Linked DNA regions of Callithrix jacchus. The protein of the gene in region 1 purifies or fractionates together with the protein of each later gene. This does not show direct contact. Links are inferred from orthologs where the notes say so. Each region holds a gene or a part of one and is shown in the gene's direction. Other genes may lie near its edges.

Region 1 (3,655 bases):
TGGATCACAGATACAAATACTTGCTTGTCTTTGCAATTCATGTTTTTAGTCCCAGCTTCTAATGTGCCTGGTATGAAAGCTTTGAGGTTTGTTGAGGGTTTCTGTGACTTTTCAATGGTGTTTTGTTGCATTTTGTCATTGTAGCCTAAGATTCCTGAACGCATCTGCAAACAAACTGGAAAGCCTTCCTCCAGCCACACTTTCTGAAGAGACAAACAGTATCTTACAAGAGTTGTATTTGACAAATAACAGCCTCACAGACAAATGTGTGCCCTTGTTAACGGGACACCCCCATTTGAAGATTCTTCACATGGCCTACAACCGCCTCCAGAGTTTTCCAGCAAGGTAGAGGAGAGTCGTAAAGCTGTGTTCTGAATTGTGTTTCTCAAAATGTATTCATGGAAAGGTGAAAGCTGAAGTATTTATTTCCCAGGTGATGTCAGGTTTATTTGCTTGTTCCTCCTTCATTCACGGTTTCCTTTATATAAGCCGTGTTGACATTTCCCTAAAGAGAAGTAGATTCGTTTTCCTCATATGTGTCCAAAGACCTAATCACAACAATGTTCTTAAGTAAAATGTGTTATTTAGCAGGTATGTTTTTTCTTTTGCTTCTTTCAACCAGTCAGATTAATTTTTTGAAAAGCCATTATCCTAGAACCTGGTGTGGTAGTGCGTGCCTTTAGTCCCAGCTACTCAGGAGGCTAAGGTAGGAGGGTCACTTGAGCTCAAGAATTCAAGACCTGCCTGGGCAGTATAGTGAGACCCTAATATTAAAAGATAAAACAAATAATAAAGTTTCCAAAAACATCAACCTAATCGGTTATGTGGGAATTGGAATGTAAACCAGGAACCTGAAAATCCTTCATTATCTACCAACTTTTATGTTTATACTCATGATGTACAACGCAGTGGTAGACTCCACTGCCGTAGAAGCTGTAACATTGCAAGTGATGGCTCTCAGAAGAGTCCATTTTTAATTTGTTTTTACTTTAATTTCTAATTTTCAGGGAGCAGTGACATTATATGTAACTTTGAATGAATCTGTGTGCTGAACCTGCTGTGAGGATTTACTCTGTTCCCACTTCATTGGCATTTATCCATCTAACAAGTTAGGACTTGGAACACACACCCACGCATCAAAGAAGCAAACACTAACCCCTCTGGTATTCTGCTTGGTAACTGCAACTCAGCATTGGGGCCATATCAAAATACTCTCACAGCCTCCCTCTGCTGCCTTCAGGGCTACCAGTCTGTTCAAGCCCTTGCAGAAGGAGGAAGGCACATGTATGTGTTGACTTAAAGTATTGCTCTGTTTGTGGCTTAATGTTTACTTTCTTCCTCATTTGAGATTAATGATTAAACTATTTTATACTTACTTCCATGTACTTTTACTTTACTATGGAATGGGGAAATGATATTTTTAGGAAAAAAACATGATAATCACATTAACAGTAACCTATCTGAAAGGGCTCATTGTCATCTTTCAGATAGTCTAAAGCCTGCAGAGGAAAGGATCATCAGCTCTGATTCTGAGGATACACCCCCAGTGACCCATGCCAAGTGTAATCACCCACCCTAAGTGCAGAGAAGCTTTTAATACACCTTGTAAAAATTCATCTAGTAATGAATTCTGTCACCCTGTGGATTGTGATATGGCTCAGAAGTTCCCCTACAAACCAGAGTACCTTCAGAGCTGGGGTTGTGACCTAGCTGTCTCCCTCAGCCTTATGTCTCACACAGTGTCATGGCTGCTGAATTAAAGAATATGACCACCATCTAGTCATTTTGTCTTCACATCTTTTGCCACCTTCTTTTTATATTGAGAGTTGGAAATTTCTTTAACTTTTTCTTTTGGGTGCCTGCTTTCTGTACTTTTAATCATCTTTCATGCGCCATTATCCATTAGTTTCAAGGCATAGTGCTGGCATCTGCTTCTGGTGAGTCTTCAGGAAGCTTACAATCATGGTAGAAGGTGAAGGGGGGCTGTTGTGTCACATGGTGAGAAAGGGGGCAAAAGAGATGCCAGGCTCTTGCGTGAATGCACAGTGTATGAATTCACATATTATCATGGGAAGAGCATCAAGCTGTTCATGAGGTATCTGCCCCCATGACCCAAACACCTCCCACTGGGCCCTACCTCTAGCATTCGGAATCACATTTCAACATGAGATTTGGAGGGGACAAATAATCCAAACCATATCACCATATTTCTTTCAAATTATGATCACAACATATTTAAATAATATTCTTAGAAGTTCAGGCTATCATAGATGGATTACTTTATAGGCTGTGTACATATTGTTTGTAGTATATTCTGATACACTGGATGTTTATGGTATAAAAGGTCTGGCTTCATAAAATAAAATTCTTATTGTTCTTATTATATCTTAGGCATATATTTCAAGATAAGTAAGATAATCTTTATATTTGAAAGCTGACAGAAAAATAATAGTGTTTTTTGTTAAATTGTTTAAAGGTGTATTGTGACAAATGAAACTATAACAGGTAGAAGTGATACCAATAACTGTAAACTAAATTATTCAGTTTACGAGTCTGAGTCACACTATGGGGAATTTTATGCATCTTGGAGTCTAGCATCAGCAGGAGTGGAAAGAGAGTCACAAGAGTGGCAGATACTAGTACAGTGATTGCAGAGGTGGAGGCGTTTTTTCTTTCAGATTTATAAAGAATGCAAGAAACTGTGATTGTGGAATTTTTCTTTAGTTGGTAATTGTAATTATTGATGAAGATTATAAATTAGGATTGAAAAATAAAAGACATTCTTAAATGGAAATTTAAATTAACTGCATTAGAACGTATTCTTAAGGTAAGGCTGGAGAGATTCCTTCTTTGTAGATGTTTAGTAAGAATAGAGAGAAATGTCTTTTGTCCCTGGTGTGAATTTGGGCTCTGCCAGAAGTGCAAGAGGTGATCCAAATGGGCTTTTAACACACCCCCTGCCCCTTACCACTACTCTGTATTCATCAGTGATGTCAGAGGAATTGGGGGAGTGGGGCTTGGGGAAAAAGTTTATCTTAATATGAACTATAGACCTGTTCTCTACCTCCCATTATGAGTTTTCAGTGCCACTACAAAGAAATTACACTCCCTAAGCCCTTTTAAGGCAGTTATATTGCTGGCTTTTGACTCATTTAAATAGTGTTTTCATTAGCATTCAGACCAAGCTATGCAGTGACATGATTATTGCCAGGGTAACTTAATTGCCACACAGACTTTAAGGAGGAAAAGAGGATCCATTTTCCTTTTTGTTGACAATTTGAAGAGTTGAAGTTAATAGTTTTTGTTCTATAATGGGAAAAGAGGTGTTAAAATATTTCAGTACTCCAAAATGATAGTGAAAAAATGGTCTTGTTTGTAAAAGTGACTGTTACAAATGAAACCTTAAAGTCATAGCAATTTAATTCATTCTTTGAGTCTCATCATATATTATTTTATTTTTACATGGATTTATAATTATAACTCCCTCCCTGATGGATTTTTTTTTTTTTTTTTAGTAAAATGGCAAAACTGGAGGAACTAGAAGAAATTGATCTCAGCGGGAATAAGCTAAAAGCCATCCCAACAACGATCATGAATTGCAGGCGCATGCACACTGTGATTGCTCACTCCAACTGCATCGAGGTCTTTCCCGAAG
Region 2 (3,655 bases), on another chromosome or scaffold:
AAGGACTATAGATACCATGAGGAAAACATTTAACTCAGAAGATGAACACAATAGGAAGCTGAAAGCAGAAGTGTTTCTCTCCCTCTGCATTCAGACCAGGCCCCCCTGCTGTCTGCTGTTGAGCCTCCGCCACCACTCATTCAAATCCCCCCAACCGACAGATTTCTGCAAGTCCTGTCCTTTCTAGTGAACCCTTTTAAAGGGTTTTGTGTCACACACAGTGCCTAGTCCAGAGCTTGTTGCCTTCACTTTCACAAGGCAAAAAAAATGAAATTTTATCCTGGAAATCTAAGCTTTCATTAATAGTAAAACTGTCCTGAAACAAAACTGTTTACATCAGTTATCTGGAGGCATTACCTAGTTGGTGAAATTCTACTCAGAATTCCAGTGTTAGTTTTAATGTCTAGAGCAGTGCCTCACATTAATTGAAGAGTTTAACCGTATCTATCATTTGTAATATATTTCATTCTCTAATGTAAACTCTTATGATTTTTCTTTAAATTTCAGCAAGATCCATATATAGCATCTATGGAACACCATACTGACTGGGTAAATGACATCGTACTCTGTTGTAATGGGAAAACATGTAAGTATTTCTTTGGATTGTTATCAGGCTTCTGATATATTTTTCATTTTTTATATAAGCTTTTTTTTAATTGAAGTATAATATACATACAGAAAAGTACACACACTTTGAGTTGCAATTCAACACAATTTTAGAAAGTAAATACCCACAAATCAAGAAACAGAATATTACTAGAAGCCTCCTTGCGCCACCCTTTCAGATACTACCCCTTGCCCCAGGGTAACTGGTCTTCTGTCTCCTGAACACCAGAGGGTAGTTTTGCCTTCATTTGAACTGTATATAGACTCATACTATATGTATTCTTCTTTTAGCCTTATTAATACCTCTTTTTCTTCTCATTTTAGTGAGATCCGTGCCTTGGTTTTGCAGTCTGAGTTGCAGGAATTTTTCTCAATCAAATTAGTTGCACTGGTTTTATAAAAAATATTTTTTTTTCTTTGAACATGTGTCTTGAGATTTTAAAAAATTGAGGCAGTATACAGTAGGTTCTAGAAAGAGCTTTTAGGTAGGGGTGTGTGTGAGAGAGAGAGAGAGAAAGAAAAGAGTTAGTTTGAAATAATGTTATACATTGTTATAAGTTTAACATTGTTTAACATTGTTATAAGTTTCAAAGTTGTAAGTCATACTACTAAAGAGTTTGTTAATTCTTTGCTTCTTCTAGTAATATCTGCTTCTTCTGACACGACAGTAAAAGTATGGAATGCACATAAAGGATTTTGCATGTCAACATTAAGGACACATAAGGTAAAACAATACAGTTCTCAGTGTCTTCAGTGTAATATTGGGATCTCAGTACTTTGTGTGGCTCATTTTATTACTGATCTGCAGAATAGATCGTAGAATTTCTGTTCTATTACAGGATTACGTAAAGGCCTTAGCATATGCCAAGGATAAAGAATTAGTGGCATCGGCGGGGTTGGACAGGCAGATATTCCTTTGGGACGTGAACACTCTAACAGCATTGACTGCCTCAAATAACACTGTCACAAGTAAGGCATTTACCAAAACTTTGTTTGAAAGTGATCCAAGTTAACATCAATAAAGAATTGTTTATAAAACATTTTGATAGGTTTGCATCGAGACAGTGGTTCATATTTTGAGAGTGCTTCTACCTACAGCGTTCTAGCCCCCCAGAGTATGATTGAACAAGAAGGAGCTAGTTCCTCATTGCAGTCTAAAAATGGTAACTTCTCCAGGTGTAACCTGGTTATTTTTTGTACATGTGCATGTCTTAGCGCCCTAGCTAAAATGTAAGCCCTTGCAGGGTAGAGGAGTCTGTCTTACCACTACTTTGTATCTTCCACAGCAATCCCTGGTCCAAATCCATACACGTAACAGGTATTGTTGAAGGAGGTGGTGATTATCTGGCAAAGTAGGCGATTTTCTGACTTTTTGAAGTTTTACTATATATTAAGAGCTTTTGAGTTAATGGCCAAAATGAAAAAATACCCAAGGTAAAGAAAGAAAAGGTTTTCAGTGCCAATTTGTCCAATTTTCTGCCCTTTTAGAGCAGCCCTGAAGAATCAAGCCAATTCCAGAAGGGCCAGAAGGGCCAGAAGGGTAGAGTGCTTCTAGAGGCAATTCAGAGATGTTCACAGCATGGATGCTTCATCAGCTAAGAGATCTCAGACCACCAAGTCAGGCTCATACAGGTCTAGATTTGAAATCAAGCTTCATGCTTGGCCCAACCAACTAGGGTCCTCTAGGCCAGGTTTCAGAAGGGGCTGTTAGGAGCACATTTTGGGCTAGGCCTGACCTGGAAAGTCTACGTTGAAAACATGGGCCTGCACTCTCTGGATCCCTACATTATAGATCTGTTTTATGATGACTCTGTGGAGTGTTGACATTGACATAGATAATACAGTTTTACTAATATAACCTAGTATGTGCCAAGAAGGGCAAGTTGGGAGCCGCGTTTATAATCTCTTGAATGTTGTTTTGCTTTGTTTGCCAGGAAATATGTAGAGGTCTCAACATTCTGTTCTCCTTGTTCTTGATTTTTCACCTGTATATTATCTCTGATTCATCAACTGGTCCCTTTTAGGGGCTGTCATGGTACATCATTAGGTTTTTACTCTCTGGCTGTAAGGTCTGCCTCAAAGAAACACTAACAGGAGGGAATGAAGCAAAAAAAAGCAGATTGTCACAAGGTCAGGGCCTAGGCTTAGTGGCTAGAGATTCTGCTATAACGGATATATCTTGCTTAGAGTTGTTTAGAGATATCACATGCTTTTTAAAAAAAAAAAACCATAATTATAAAAATAACACTAATAATGGCTAACATGTATTGAGTACTTGCTTCAAGCAGACATTTTTCTAAACACTATGTATGTTAACTCATTTACCCATAACTTTTTAGTATGTTTGTTTATTGTAAAGTTGGGGTCATACTGTATAGACAGTTCCATATGCAGCTCTTTTCACTTCAGTGGTACTGAGGACATGAACATGATTTTTGCTGTGTAGTGTCTGAATTCCTTCCCAAAAGGTTGTTCTGATTTATCTTCATGCAAGCAATATATGAGAGTGCCATTGTACTGTTTGCTTTTTAGAATCAAGTATTACCTTGTTTTTTGTCTTGGTATATGAAACAGTATTTTTGCTTTGATTTATGTTTGAAAAATAGTGAATTGAACATTTTTTTCATATTTATGGCACATGTGTAGCTTTAAAATATGTCCTTTAAGTGAATAGCTTTTCAGTGGCACTGCAATTTATCAGATGTTTATTTATTGAGTATTTGTATATATTCAAATCCAAAAAATATGTAAATTTTGATAATACTGTTTAAAATTGTCTCCATTATAGGTAGATTTCTTTTCCTTAGAGTATTTATAAAGATAAAATTTTCTAAATTGAATAAACCTGTAATTTTTGCTGACTAGTTACTAAGCAGTTCATGATCTTGCTAACATTTAGCTCCATTTATCCTCAATAGCTTCTTCTTTAAGTGGGAACAAAGATTCCATTTATAGCCTGGCTATGAACCACCTGGGAACAGTCATTGTGTCAGGGTCCACTGAAAAGGTAGGGGGAGCATATTTCTTCTTTTTTTAAAAAAAATAATTT

What was found.
Region 2: the proteins of PHLPP1 (region 1) and WDR48 purify together in Homo sapiens (affinity purification with mass spectrometry; 5 studies listed by BioGRID and IntAct, with this or other methods). This does not show direct contact. The link is inferred for Callithrix jacchus from reciprocal best matches to the Homo sapiens genes PHLPP1 and WDR48.

The regions. Positions count from the first base shown.
Region 1 is NC_133514.1:105,898,687-105,902,341, forward strand, and holds part of PHLPP1 (PH domain leucine-rich repeat-containing protein phosphatase 1), read left to right. Parts: intron 1-144; coding exon 145-345; intron 346-3,515; coding exon 3,516-3,655. UniProt on the Homo sapiens protein: Protein phosphatase involved in regulation of Akt and PKC signaling.
Region 2 is NC_133518.1:76,923,525-76,927,179, forward strand, and holds part of WDR48 (WD repeat-containing protein 48), read left to right. Parts: intron 1-507; coding exon 508-586; intron 587-1,247; coding exon 1,248-1,330; intron 1,331-1,445; coding exon 1,446-1,575; intron 1,576-3,524; coding exon 3,525-3,613; intron 3,614-3,655. UniProt on the Homo sapiens protein: Regulator of deubiquitinating complexes, which acts as a strong activator of USP1, USP12 and USP46. Enhances the USP1-mediated deubiquitination of FANCD2; USP1 being almost inactive by itself.